3 linked regions of the Sus scrofa genome follow. The protein of the gene in region 1 binds, or shares a complex with, the protein of each later gene. Links are inferred from orthologs where the notes say so. Each region holds a gene or a part of one and is shown on either strand. Other genes may lie near its edges.

What was found.
Region 2: the proteins of RPTOR (region 1) and ZFYVE28 are in contact, whole or in part, in a cryo-EM structure (PDB 9F43), measured with the Homo sapiens proteins. The link is inferred for Sus scrofa from reciprocal best matches to the Homo sapiens genes RPTOR and ZFYVE28. Residues at the interface, in NP_065812.1 of Homo sapiens: Arg54, Arg305, Arg306, Thr317, Asp321, Phe337, Arg338, Leu341, Ala344, Arg348, Leu437, Gln438, Leu440, Leu441, Ser442, Gln443, Arg446, Pro474, Tyr475, Lys478, Leu479, Gln481, Ser482, Ser483, Ala484; in NP_066023.2 of Homo sapiens: Arg399, Val400, Phe401, Phe402, Met403, Asp404, Asp405, Val406, Glu407.
Region 3: the proteins of RPTOR (region 1) and EIF4EBP1 are in contact, whole or in part, in a cryo-EM structure (PDB 6BCX), measured with the Homo sapiens proteins. The link is inferred for Sus scrofa from reciprocal best matches to the Homo sapiens genes RPTOR and EIF4EBP1. Residues at the interface, in NP_065812.1 of Homo sapiens: Arg54, Arg305, Thr317, Asp321, Phe337, Arg338, Leu341, Ala344, Arg348, Leu437, Gln438, Leu440, Leu441, Ser442, Gln443, Arg446, Tyr475, Lys478, Leu479, Gln481; in NP_004086.1 of Homo sapiens: Glu111, Ser112, Gln113, Phe114, Glu115, Met116, Asp117, Ile118.

Annotation. Positions count from the first base shown.
Region 1 is NC_010454.4:1,747,247-1,750,888, reverse strand, and holds part of RPTOR (regulatory-associated protein of mTOR), read left to right. Parts: intron 1-444; coding exon 445-510; intron 511-850; coding exon 851-1,042; intron 1,043-1,247; coding exon 1,248-1,388; intron 1,389-3,126; coding exon 3,127-3,244; intron 3,245-3,642. UniProt on the Homo sapiens protein: Component of the mechanistic target of rapamycin complex 1 (mTORC1), an evolutionarily conserved central nutrient sensor that stimulates anabolic reactions and macromolecule biosynthesis to promote cellular biomass generation and growth.
Region 2 is NC_010450.4:1,243,435-1,247,076, forward strand, and holds part of ZFYVE28 (lateral signaling target protein 2 homolog), read right to left. Parts: intron 1,863-3,642; coding exon 618-1,862; intron 163-617; coding exon of another isoform or gene 141-162; exon of another isoform or gene 1-140. UniProt on the Homo sapiens protein: Negative regulator of epidermal growth factor receptor (EGFR) signaling. Acts by promoting EGFR degradation in endosomes when not monoubiquitinated.
Region 3 is NC_010457.5:48,422,676-48,426,417, forward strand, and holds the end of EIF4EBP1 (eukaryotic translation initiation factor 4E-binding protein 1), read right to left. Parts: intron 3,179-3,742; coding exon 2,993-3,178; intron 600-2,992; coding exon 568-599; 3' UTR 326-567; downstream 1-325. UniProt on the Homo sapiens protein: Repressor of translation initiation that regulates EIF4E activity by preventing its assembly into the eIF4F complex: hypophosphorylated form competes with EIF4G1/EIF4G3 and strongly binds to EIF4E, leading to repress translation.

The sequences.
Region 1 (3,642 bases):
CTCCGATGGCGCAGAACCAGAGCCTGCTCCCGCTGCAGCATCGCAGCCTCCGGGAGACCAGCCCAAAGCTGCCGAGCCCTCTTCAACGGGCGTTCCTTCTGTGGCCTCACAGCGGGAGACGATAAAGCTGGACCTTGTCATTTATTTATTTTTGTCTTTGTTTTCTTTTAGGGCCGCACTCGCGACATATGGAGGTTCCCAGGCTAAGGGTCTAATCGAAGCCATAGCTGCCGGCCTCCACCACAGCTCCTGGCAGCGCCAGATCCTTAACCCACTGAGCGGGGCCGGGCTGGAACCCGCAACCTCATGGTGCCTCGTCACATTCGCTTGCTTGTGCCACGACGGGAGCTCCGCAGCTGGCCCTCGTCACCTGAGTTCCACATCTAGCTCCGCGTCACGTTTCCCGCGGAGGAGGCGCCAACGAGCAGGACTTGTGTTTTGCAGGCTGAGCACAGGACCATGACGGCCTTCATCCTGGCCGTGATCGTCAACAGCTACAACACGGGGCAGGCGAGTGTCACCCCGCGTCCCCACCCCCCGGGCGCCCCGGGGTCCCGAGGCGCCGCCCGAGGAACTGCTCCGAGTGATGGAACGGTGACCTCAGGAGGGGGGTTCCGGGTCCCAGCAGCCGGGGGCTCCATGGGAGGAGCAGCGGCCCGGCCCCTCTGGCTGCAGCTGGGGGAGCTGGAATTGGTGGGAGTGAAGTGCGGGAAATTGAGCACGTCCTGCGACGGGACCCAGCACAGTCCCCCCAAGAAAAGCCAGGTGCTGGGGTCCGGCCCGCCACCCTCCTCCCTGCTGGTGGTCGGGGCGTGATGGGGTGACGCCCTGCACTGCCGCCTGCTTGCAGGAGGCCTGCCTCCAGGGGAACCTGATCGCCATCTGCCTGGAGCAGCTCAGCGACCCCCACCCCCTGCTGCGCCAGTGGGTGGCCATCTGCCTCGGGCGGATCTGGCAGAACTTCGACTCGGCCCGCTGGTGCGGCGTGAGGGACAGCGCCCACGAGAAGCTCTGCAGCCTCCTCTCCGACCCCATCCCCGAGGTGCGGCTGCAGGACGGCTCGGTGCTGGAGGCCACCTGCTGGGGGCAGGAGCACGGGCTGGCCTCTGGTCCCAGCAGCTCTCGGCCCTGGTGGGGGTGGGGGGGAAGCTCGTGCCTCGTTCCTCCCTGGCTAGGGCTCCTCTGCGCTTGGGGCTGGGCTGAGAGGAGGGCCAGCCGGCTCAGGGTGACCGCCGCCCTGCCCGCAGGTGCGCTGCGCAGCAGTCTTCGCCCTTGGCACCTTTGTGGGCAACTCAGCAGAGAGGACGGACCACTCCACCACCATCGACCACAACGTGGCCATGATGCTGGCCCAGCTCATCAACGACGGCAGCCCTGTGGTGCGGAAGGTGGGTGCCCCCCCTCCGCAGCCCGCGACCCTGGGCCGCAGCCGCGGGCTCTCAGTCCCCTGGCACGCACCCTGGCCAAACGCACTCTCCAAAGTGCGTTTCTTCACCAGATACTCATGTTTGCTTCATTGAAAGGTGTTTAACAGGCCACGTCTCCGGGCAGCTTGTACAGTAGGCAGCATGTGCCCCCCACGGAGGTTCAAAAGCCGTGGCCTCTCAGGCAGGCCCGGGGTGTGCCGCGTTCTCCCCGCCCCACCCCACACGTTTGTCTTGACTGAGCCCAGCAGTCTCTGCAGTGGGAACCTTGCCTTGTCCGTTTAGATGCAGAAATACCATGCTTTCCGTGCGAGGTCTCACTCCCCTTCCAGGGTTGGCTCAGCACAGCTCAGCCCGCCCCTCCCCCAGCCAGAAGGGGCCGTATTTCGGGTGGACGCAGGGCAGCGTGGTCCTGTGACCGTGAGCGGAGGTGCCGCGGTCCCCAGCCTGGAGATGGCTGTGCGGGGAGGGGCTGTGGTCTGGGGGGGTTTGCTTGGAGAGCTGTCTTGGTGGCAGGAACTTTCAGCAAGTTCCCATCAGCCGGGAACCACTCATCCCGCCTCGTGCCCCCGGGGAACGTGAGGCCAGCTCCCAGGACGCCAGGGTTTCTAGAGAAGCCTTGGCTGAGGACGCTCCGCAGGCGCCTCGGCCCGAGCTCGGCTGTCTTAGCTTCTGCCCGACGCGGGCTTCCTGAGTCAAAGGCTGCTTTTTCCCGAGTCGCATTGCCTCTGGTGGGTGTCACCCATCAAAGCAGCAGATCAGCAGTCTCTCAAGTTGTCTGTTGAGACTGCTTCCAAAGGAAGGAACGCTGTCTTTTAGCTCTTCCCTAACAAGCTTTGAGATAAAAAAGAGCGGTGATGAGAATAGACTACCCGAGGGACCAGGGAGTGGCCGCCAGGAGCACCAGAGCCTCCGCGCTCTCAAGCCTGTGTCCACATGTGCCCTGGGCGCCCTTCTGGGCTGGAGTCCACTCACCACCCCGTGACCAGCCACCCGACGCCCGTGGGCAGCTGTGTGGGCAAGGCCTGCTGGTTCTGAGTGTGACAGCGCTAGACTGTGGCGAAGGCGGACCAGCTCTGCCGGGAAGGGGAGGGCTGCCCAGAGGGTCTCGCATCTGAACGTGTCAGCCCCCCGCTGGTCTTCCCAGGCCTGAGAATAGCGTGAGGCCAGCCTGCGCCCAGCCGCACCTGACCATGGGCCTCCCTGGGGCCGGGTCGATCTGCTCTGGGTCCAGCCCAGCCCTTTCAGCCCCTCACAGTGGAGGGAAAATGGGTGCTTTTTGAAGAGGTGCAGGCTTCGTCTTCACCAGGAGGAGCCGGCAGGTGCCCCTTGGCGGCCTGCTGCTCTGCAGTGGGGCTCAGCCTCACCCGTGGGAGGAGGCCCTGCGGGCTCTTCCCCATCCCACACCACGGCACCCTCACCCTACGTCTCTACAAGGCCCTCCAGCCCTGTCGCTCACACCTGGCGGTCAGCAGTCACCCCGCCAGGTGTCCCAGGCGTTTTTGGAGGCCGTGATCCTGACACCCTGCTTGCTCAGACGCCTCTGCCCACGCTGGGTGCTCCAGTGCTGTGTTGAGCGGGGAGCCCCTTTCCCGGTGCCCAGCACGGTCTGTCCCCCATCCTTCTCCATGGTGGCTCCAGCATGCAGCGCCCGCATCGTCTCCCAGCCCCACGTCAGCGTGCTTGTGCCTTCTCCCGGCAGGAGCTGGTGGTGGCTCTGAGTCACCTTGTGGTTCAGTACGAAAGCAACTTCTGCACCGTGGCCCTGCAGTTCATGGAAGAGGAGAAGAACTACCCGCTGCCCTCTCCGGCCGCCACAGGTATGGTGCCACGGGCATGGCGCCACAGTTACAGCGCCACGGGTGCGGTGCCAGGAGAGCCCTCGAGGCTCGTGGAACTGGAGCCCCGTCGGGACTGTCCACAGGCCCCTAAGCCCACAGGCGAGTCCTGGCCGCTCAGGTGTCTGCGAGTCCCGCCTTCCCCGCCCCGAAGAAGGGCAGGGCCGCCCCCTGACGCTTCTCCTGCCTCTCCGCCCTCTTGCGAGATCCCAGTCCTGGAAACCCGGAAGGGCGGAGGTGCTGCTTCTGGGCCTCAGGGAAGCTCGTCTCCCTCCGTGAGAGTCCTCACGTCTGTCCTTGTCGCCTAGTTTGCACGTCTTCGTCTTGGGCGGGCCCGGCCCCCAGAGCACAGCCGTCCCTGCGGGAAAAAGGCTTGTGAT
Region 2 (3,642 bases), on another chromosome or scaffold:
CCTTTTGGACACTGAAGTCAGGATGGGGCTGCAGGCAGGGCTCTGCAGGTGGGAGAGCACGGCGACCAGCCGTATGAACCCGGGGCTGGCCTGGCACCTCCTTTCGGATGTCCAGACAGGTGGGCATGTGGCCGCGCTGGTTAGTGCTGGCTGAACTGCTTCCTTCAGGATAAACCCAGCGTGTGGAGCAAGGGAAGGAAGAACGGCCTCGATTCAGAGAGGTGTAGGTGCCAGGGTCCTGCCAAGCTCCCGCCCGCCTTTCCTGCTCAGAGGCCTGAGGATGGGGGAGGACCCACGAAATGGGGGTAGGGGTGGGGGGAGCACTGCCCGAGGGTGGTCTTGATCCCACCACGGCCCCGGTGCTGCACGCTGGCGCTGACGGTCTGTGCAGCCAGGTGGGTGCCAGGCCCTGGCCACGCCCAGTCCACAGATGCCAATCACACCCTGGTCATGAAAAGAGTGAGCCGAGGGCCTGGCGCTGTGCCCACTCACCAGAAAGGCACCTGTTACACCAGCAACAGGGCAGCCAGGCCCCTGGGGACACTGCTCAGTTGTGTGCAGGCCTGACAAGCTGCTAACGACTGGAGGGTGACTACAGTGGCCCTAACCCATCTTACCTGGGGACCAGCAGGCGCTGAGGCTGCTCCTCGGCTGCCCCTCCAGGCCGCCTCTCCTCCGTGGGCTGACTGGCGCCATCGCCCCCTCCGGGCAGCCCGTCTGCGGCATCCCCCGGGGGCCCTGAGGTGTGTGTCAGGCACTTGTTGGGAGTAGGGGCTTTGGGCTCCTGCAGGCCAGGGGCGTCTTCGGAGGGCAAGGCCTCCAGGGCGGGCCCCGCCTCTGGCAGTCCGGGAGCTGCGCCCTTGGCACTGGCCTTGGCCAAGCCAACGTGGGAGGAGCTGATGACGCTGCCAGAGCCACACTTGCCCCGCAGACTCTCCGCAGCGTCCTCCCTGCCGCCCCCGCAGCCCCCGCAGCACACGCAGGAGTTGAGGAGGCAGTCGGCAGCCGTGGCGCTCAGTTTGTGGGGGCCACCGTCCGTCCCCTCTGCCGCCGGCTCCGACGGGGAGAAGCCGTCCCCGGGGACCTCTGCGCTGGCGAGGGTGGAGTCCAAGGAGGCAGGCGACTTGGGATTGAAGATGACCGTGGCTGAGAGCTTCATGCCCCCGGTCCGGTGGGCGATCAGCTCAGCCGTCTCGGCAGCGTCCGAACTCACCTCCCAGCCGTCGAGGTGCGGCCGGGAGTCCAGGCAGCTGCAGGAGTTGGGGCCCCCTGCCCGCGCCCCGTCGCCCTCGACGTTGTTGTTGTCGTTCCCGCCCCCCTTGCCCGCGTCAGCAGGTGTGCTGGCGCCCCGCTCCCTGCTCTCCCCGCCTGGCCCTCTCTCCTGGGGGTCAGCGCTGGCACTGCCCGCCTGCCCAGACGGGCTGCCCCGGGCCTCGGCCGCCCCTCCCACGTCATCCATGAAAAACACCCTGCCCTCCTCGTCGTCACTGCCCTGCGGCAGCCGGGCGCTGCCTGGGGACGCCGGCCCTGGACTGCCCGTGGCGCCCAGCCTGTGCGCAGGGGACTGGGTGGCACTGGGTGGGGACAGGAGCGAGGACATCTCGTCGCCGGCTTTGTGCACCAGGCGGCTGAGCTGCTCCAGCTCCTGGTCGTCGTACTGCATGGAGCAGGCCAGCTCCGCCTCCGAGTTCTTGGGCTTGTCCGCCAGCAGCTCCTCTGGGGCCAGGGGTTCGGGAAAGGCGGGTGCCAGGGCAGGCGGCACCTGGGCGTCTGCCCGGATGGGGAACTCCACCTCCTGGGAAATACAGAGGTTCCGTTCCAGCGTGTGAAGCTCCTCTTCGGTCAGGGTCTGCAGCAAATCCCTATAAGGGTCAAGACAGAGAACAGGGGTGTGTGTGGACAAGGCCCCCAGAGCCCCCAGCAGAGAAGCCGCCGGGCGGCCGCCACCTGCAACTAACCTCAAGGCGCACGCCCCCTCCACTGCAAAAAGAGGTGGGGTCTCCGAGGCTCCATCGGGACAACAGCCACTTGGCATGGCTGACTGTGATTCTAGGGTGGGCTTGTCCGTAGAAATGAGATTCTGAAACCTCTTGCTCATAACAAGCCCTGGTTCTTTTTTTTTTTTTTTTTTGGTCTTTTTGCCTTTTTTTTTTAGGGCCACGCCTGTGGCATATGGAAGTTCCCAGGCCAGGGGTCGAACCAGAGCTGTAGCCACAGGCCTACGCCCCAGCCACAGCAACGCGGGATCCTTAACCCACTGAGCGAGGCCAGGGATTGAACCTGCATCCTCATGGATGCTAGTCCGGTTTGTTAACCACTGAGCCATGACAGGAGCTCCAAGCCCTGGTCCTCAGGGACATGATAGCTGCACTCATATAAAGTTTTAGGAGTGAAAAAAACATGCCTTTTACATATAGATTTTCATTCTTTGGTTCAACATGTATCACTGAGCACCATCTGTGTGCCAGGGATCGAACCCATGTCATGGCAGTGACTTGAGCCACAGCAGTGACAATGCCAAGTCCTTAGCCCAGTGAGTCACCAGGGAACTCTCATCTTAACCATTTTTAAGTGACAGCTCAGTGCTATCAAATGCATTCACATGGTTGTGCAGCCATCACTATCCCCACCCCACGACACCTTCATCCTATAAATCTAAAGTTCTGGGCCCATTAGGAGCTTCCACTGTGGCTCAGTGGTTAACAAACCCGACTAGGAACCACGAGGTTTTGGGTTCGATCCTTGGCCTTGCTTAGTGGGTTAAAGATCCGGCGTTGCCGTGAGCCATGGGGTAGGCTGACAGCTACAGCTCTGATTCCACCATTAGCCTGGGAACTTCCATATGCCACAGGTGCAGCCCTAAAAAGATAAAAGACAAAAAATAAATAAAATAAAATTCTATATCCATTAAACCCTAACTCTTCCCCTCCCTCCAGCCCCGACAACCACCACTACCCTTTCTGTCTCCACGCTTTTGACTATTCTAAGTGTAACTGGACTCACACATCGCATTTTCGTGACTGGCTTATTTCATTTAGTATGACCTCAAAGTGCGTCCGTGTCGCATCTGTCAAAATGTCCTTCCTTTTTAAGGCTGAATAATACCCATGGCTTGGCTGGACCACACTTTGCTTATCAATTCATCTATCAGCCGATGCTTCCACCTCTCAGCTCCTGTGAATGGTGCTGCTACGAACATAAGTGTGCAAGTATCTCTTCAGGAAGCTGCTTTCAATTCCTCGGGGTGTAAACCCAGAAAAGGAACTGCCAGATCATACGGTAGTTCTATTTTAATTTCTTCCTTTCTTTTTTTTTTTTGCTTTTCAGGGCCGCACCCGCACCCACAGCACATGGAGGTTCCCAGGCTAGGGGTCCAATCAGAGCTGTAGTCTCCAGCCTACGCCAGAGCCACAGCAATGTGGGATCCGAGCCGCGTCTGCGACCCACACCACAGCTCACGGCAACGCCGGATCCTCAACCCACTGAGCAAGGCCAGGGATCGACCCGCAACCTCATGGTTCCCAGTCGGGTTCGTTGACCACTGTGCCCCGACGGGAGCTCCCATCCCCTTTTTTCGAGGCAGCCGTCCTCGGGGTGTGCGGTGGCCTCAGGAGGCGGAACTGCCTTTCCCTGGCGCCGTGA
Region 3 (3,742 bases), on another chromosome or scaffold:
TTGCTCTACTTACCCCCATGGGATCCGTGCCACTGTCAAATGAGATAAGGCATAGAAAGTGCATGATGGGCACTATGCATGTGACATTGGCGTTAGCCATCCATATGGAATGAAAAGAGCTCAGACAGGGGCCAATTCTTGGCCCTAGGGCAAAGGTGGCTTTTATTTCCTTTCTTGGGAAGAGAGAGGGATGGGAGCATTTCCATACACCAACCTAAGGAAGGGGTGGGCACACCCCCCCCCAGGAGGATGCTGGAAGAGCTAGAGGACCATTCAGAAGGGCTCCTCCGAGTCCACGAGCTGGCCCTGGGCTGCAGGGTGTGCCTGAGGTCACTCCTCTTGGGGTGACAGCACCTGCAGGAGTGGAGGCACATGGAGGTATCTGCTGGTGTTCATGAAGAAGGGGGAGCAGGTGCCCTGAGTGAGGAAGCAGGGGGCTGGGGCAGCCGACCCCACGCCCAACGCCTGCCCAGGATGGCAACTTTCATAAGGCCTGGCTGGTGGGATCCTTCTCCCAAAAGGGGCCACTGGGGCCCAGAGGCATTGCTCGATCCCATGGCTGGTCCTTTAAATGTCCATCTCAAACTGTGACTCTTCACCTGGGGAGAGAAGGAACAGAGGGTCAGGTGAGCAAAAGGAATTGGGCAGGGCTGACATTCTAGAGGCCAGGAAAAGGCACTACTTCCCATTCTTCTGTCCCTACCAGCAGAGCAGGGGCCAGGTTTGGGCTGCCAAGAACAGAGGAAGGGTGGGACCAGGAATTCCTGGAAATACATGTCCAGCTGTGCTCCCTTCCTCAAGTCTTAAAGGCAGAGCAAAGACCACATCTCCCAGCAGGAGAGGTGACAGCCCTGAATTCCATATAGGCATTATTATTATTACTACTACTATTATTATCATTGGCTGTGTCCATGGCATGCGGAAGTTCCTGGGCCAGGGATCAAACCTGTGCCACAGTAGTAACCCAAGCCACAGCAGTGACAATGCCAGATCCTTAACCCACTGAGCCACCAGGGAACTCTAAATGTATCATTTTTAATAAGTGTGAATGGTTCCTTGTGATTTGAAATATATACAACTTCACAGACAAATATTCCTTAAACATAAAACCCTTTTGAGCACATGTCCCAACTTCTTGTTTAGAAAACAGTACCCTAACCTACCAGGCATATATCCCACTGTGTGTGGAACAGCCTGACCCAGCCTGACCCTGTGGTATGGCAGTTATTTGGGTAATTTAGCCACTCACTGCCCTCACCCAACTCTCACCATTACCATTTCCAAGTAATTCATGCTGCAGGGGGTTGCTTTTCTTTTCTTTTTTTTTAGGGCTGCACCTGCGGCATAGGGAAGTTCCTAGGCAAGGGGTCCAATCTGAGCTGCAACTGCCAGCCAATATCACAGTCATGGCAATGATGTATCCACATCACATTTTAGGGCAGTTCACGGACACTATGCTGGGTTCTTAACCTGAGCCACAACAGGAATTCTTGGTCCCTTGGCTTCTTATATCCAGTTAAGCAAAAGAGAAAATCATGCTGGCACCCCCCTCCACTAAACCCCAACCCAGCAACTGTGGGGAACACTAGGCCATGATTGTGGGGTCAGAGTGGTCCACCTGGGGGCACTGCTGGGCCACCCTCCATTTGTTGTGGGACAGAACAGCTCTAGAAACTGGGAGGGAAGAGGGAGTACAAGTGGGGGCAACGGACCAGGTGAGAGTGATGCAGCAATGTCAGGTGTTGACAACCTCCATCCTCAACTTCCAGTCTTCAGTTGCCCTCCTCATGCTCCCTGTGTGTCTGAGTCCACGCCCTTCCACCCCCTGCTCTCCTTGTCTGAGGGTGAGGCAACCAGCCTGTCTTGGGTGGTAGGGTTCCCAAGGTAAATATGAATCATGTCCTGCAGGCCCTGGGGAGATGGCTTCTGCTGCTCTCAGCAGGGCCAGCCCAGCCTGAGGTCCCAGCTGCTTCCTGTCTGGGCTTGGTGCACTGCCTTCCAGATAAAGGGTCAGCAGGCTGCCCGCTGACTCAGGTTGTCTGCAAGTGCTTATGCTGCATCCTCCTGCAGCAGGAGCACTTAGATGCCCGGGGCCAGCCAGTCCCAATGCCACAGACTGCGTTCACCTCTGCCAGGGTGGCTGCTCTGATGACTTGGGAGGATGGAGGTGGGGGATGGAGAGAACAAACACCAGGAAGGACCCAGCTACTGTGTCAAACCTGCAGAAACAACTGGTTGCGGAATTCCCCTTGTGGCTGCTCAGGTTAAGAATTGACTAGTATCCAGGAGGATTCGGGTTTGAGCTCTGGCCTCGCTCAGTGGGTTAAGGATCCAGCGTTGCTGTGAGCTGTGGTATAGGTCGCAGATGCGGCTCAGATCCCATGTTGCTGTGGCTGTGGCGCAGGCCAGTGGCCACAGCTCCGATTCAACCCCTAGCCTGGGAACTTCCATATGCTGTGGGTGTGGCCCTAAAAAGGAAAGGAAAAACAAAAAAACAAAAGAAACCGGTTGCACTGTTTCTCCTCTGTTCATCAAGAATCTACTACAGACAACACCCTAGCAGAAGGCATCCTAGAAGCCTTTCTGATACAGACATGTAATTTCCTAGAGGGCGAGGACACTGGGCCTTTGATAGGTCACCTCCAGCACAGGAACATCGTGGGTATGTTCCAAGTGTTGCAGTCGCCTGGAAATGCTTCAGGGACAACTATATAAAGGTTAGCAAAGTGGCTGTGTGGTCCCCTCTTGTTTCAAACAAGCTCCCCACTAGTGAGTTGCCAGATGATGGCCTTTCCTGGGTTCCTGGGCCATTTTCATGGGGAAAGCTGGTTGGGATGAAAACTCTATGCTCCATCCCTACCTCCATCCTCTGGGCTCTGGGCTGCTCCATGGAGGGTGGGGTGATCGCCAGTGTTTTCCCTGAACTCCCCCCAGCGGATGGGACCACACATGTTCCTTCCCAAGGGAGAGCCTGGCCAAGTCCTGCACTCACCGCCCGCCCCCGCCGGCTTGTCGTCTGGGCTACTGCGCAGGTGGTTCTGGCTGGCATCTGTGGGGGGCTCATCACCCACAGGGCTGGTGACCCCGGGAATGGTGGGCAGGTCCCTCGGGGGCGTTTTGGTCACAGGTGAGTTCCGACACTCCATTAGGAACTTCCGGTCATAGATGATCCTGGTACCTGGAAGGGGGTGGGAATACTGTTAAGCATCTCGAAGTCCCCACCTGCTCTTTTTCCTACTTCTTTGAGGTATGGCTGCAGCACAGGTGGCAGGTTTTCCTACAAAAGCCAAGGGTTAAGGAACATCAAGGATTGCAAGCAAACCATCAGAAGCTCAGGGGGTTGGGAGAGGAGTAGGCTGGATCAAATTCTTCCTCACAGCCTCAGAAGGAACCACCCTGCCAACCCCTTGATCTCGGACTTCCAGCCTCCAGAACTGAGACCACACATTTCTGTTGTTGTTTTGTTTTGTTTTTTGTCTTTTTGCCATTTTATTGGGCCACTCCCACAGCATACGGAGGTTCCCAGGCTAGGGGTCTAATCGGAGCTGTAGCCACCGGCCTACGCCAGAGTCACAGCAACATGGGATCCGAGCTGCGTATTCGACCCACACAATAGCTCATGGCAACGCCAGATCCTTAACCCACTGAGCAAGGCCAGGGATCGAATCTACAACCTCATGGTTCCTAGTTGGATTTGTTAACCACTGCGCCACAGCCCACAGTGCTGGAAAAACCGAATCCA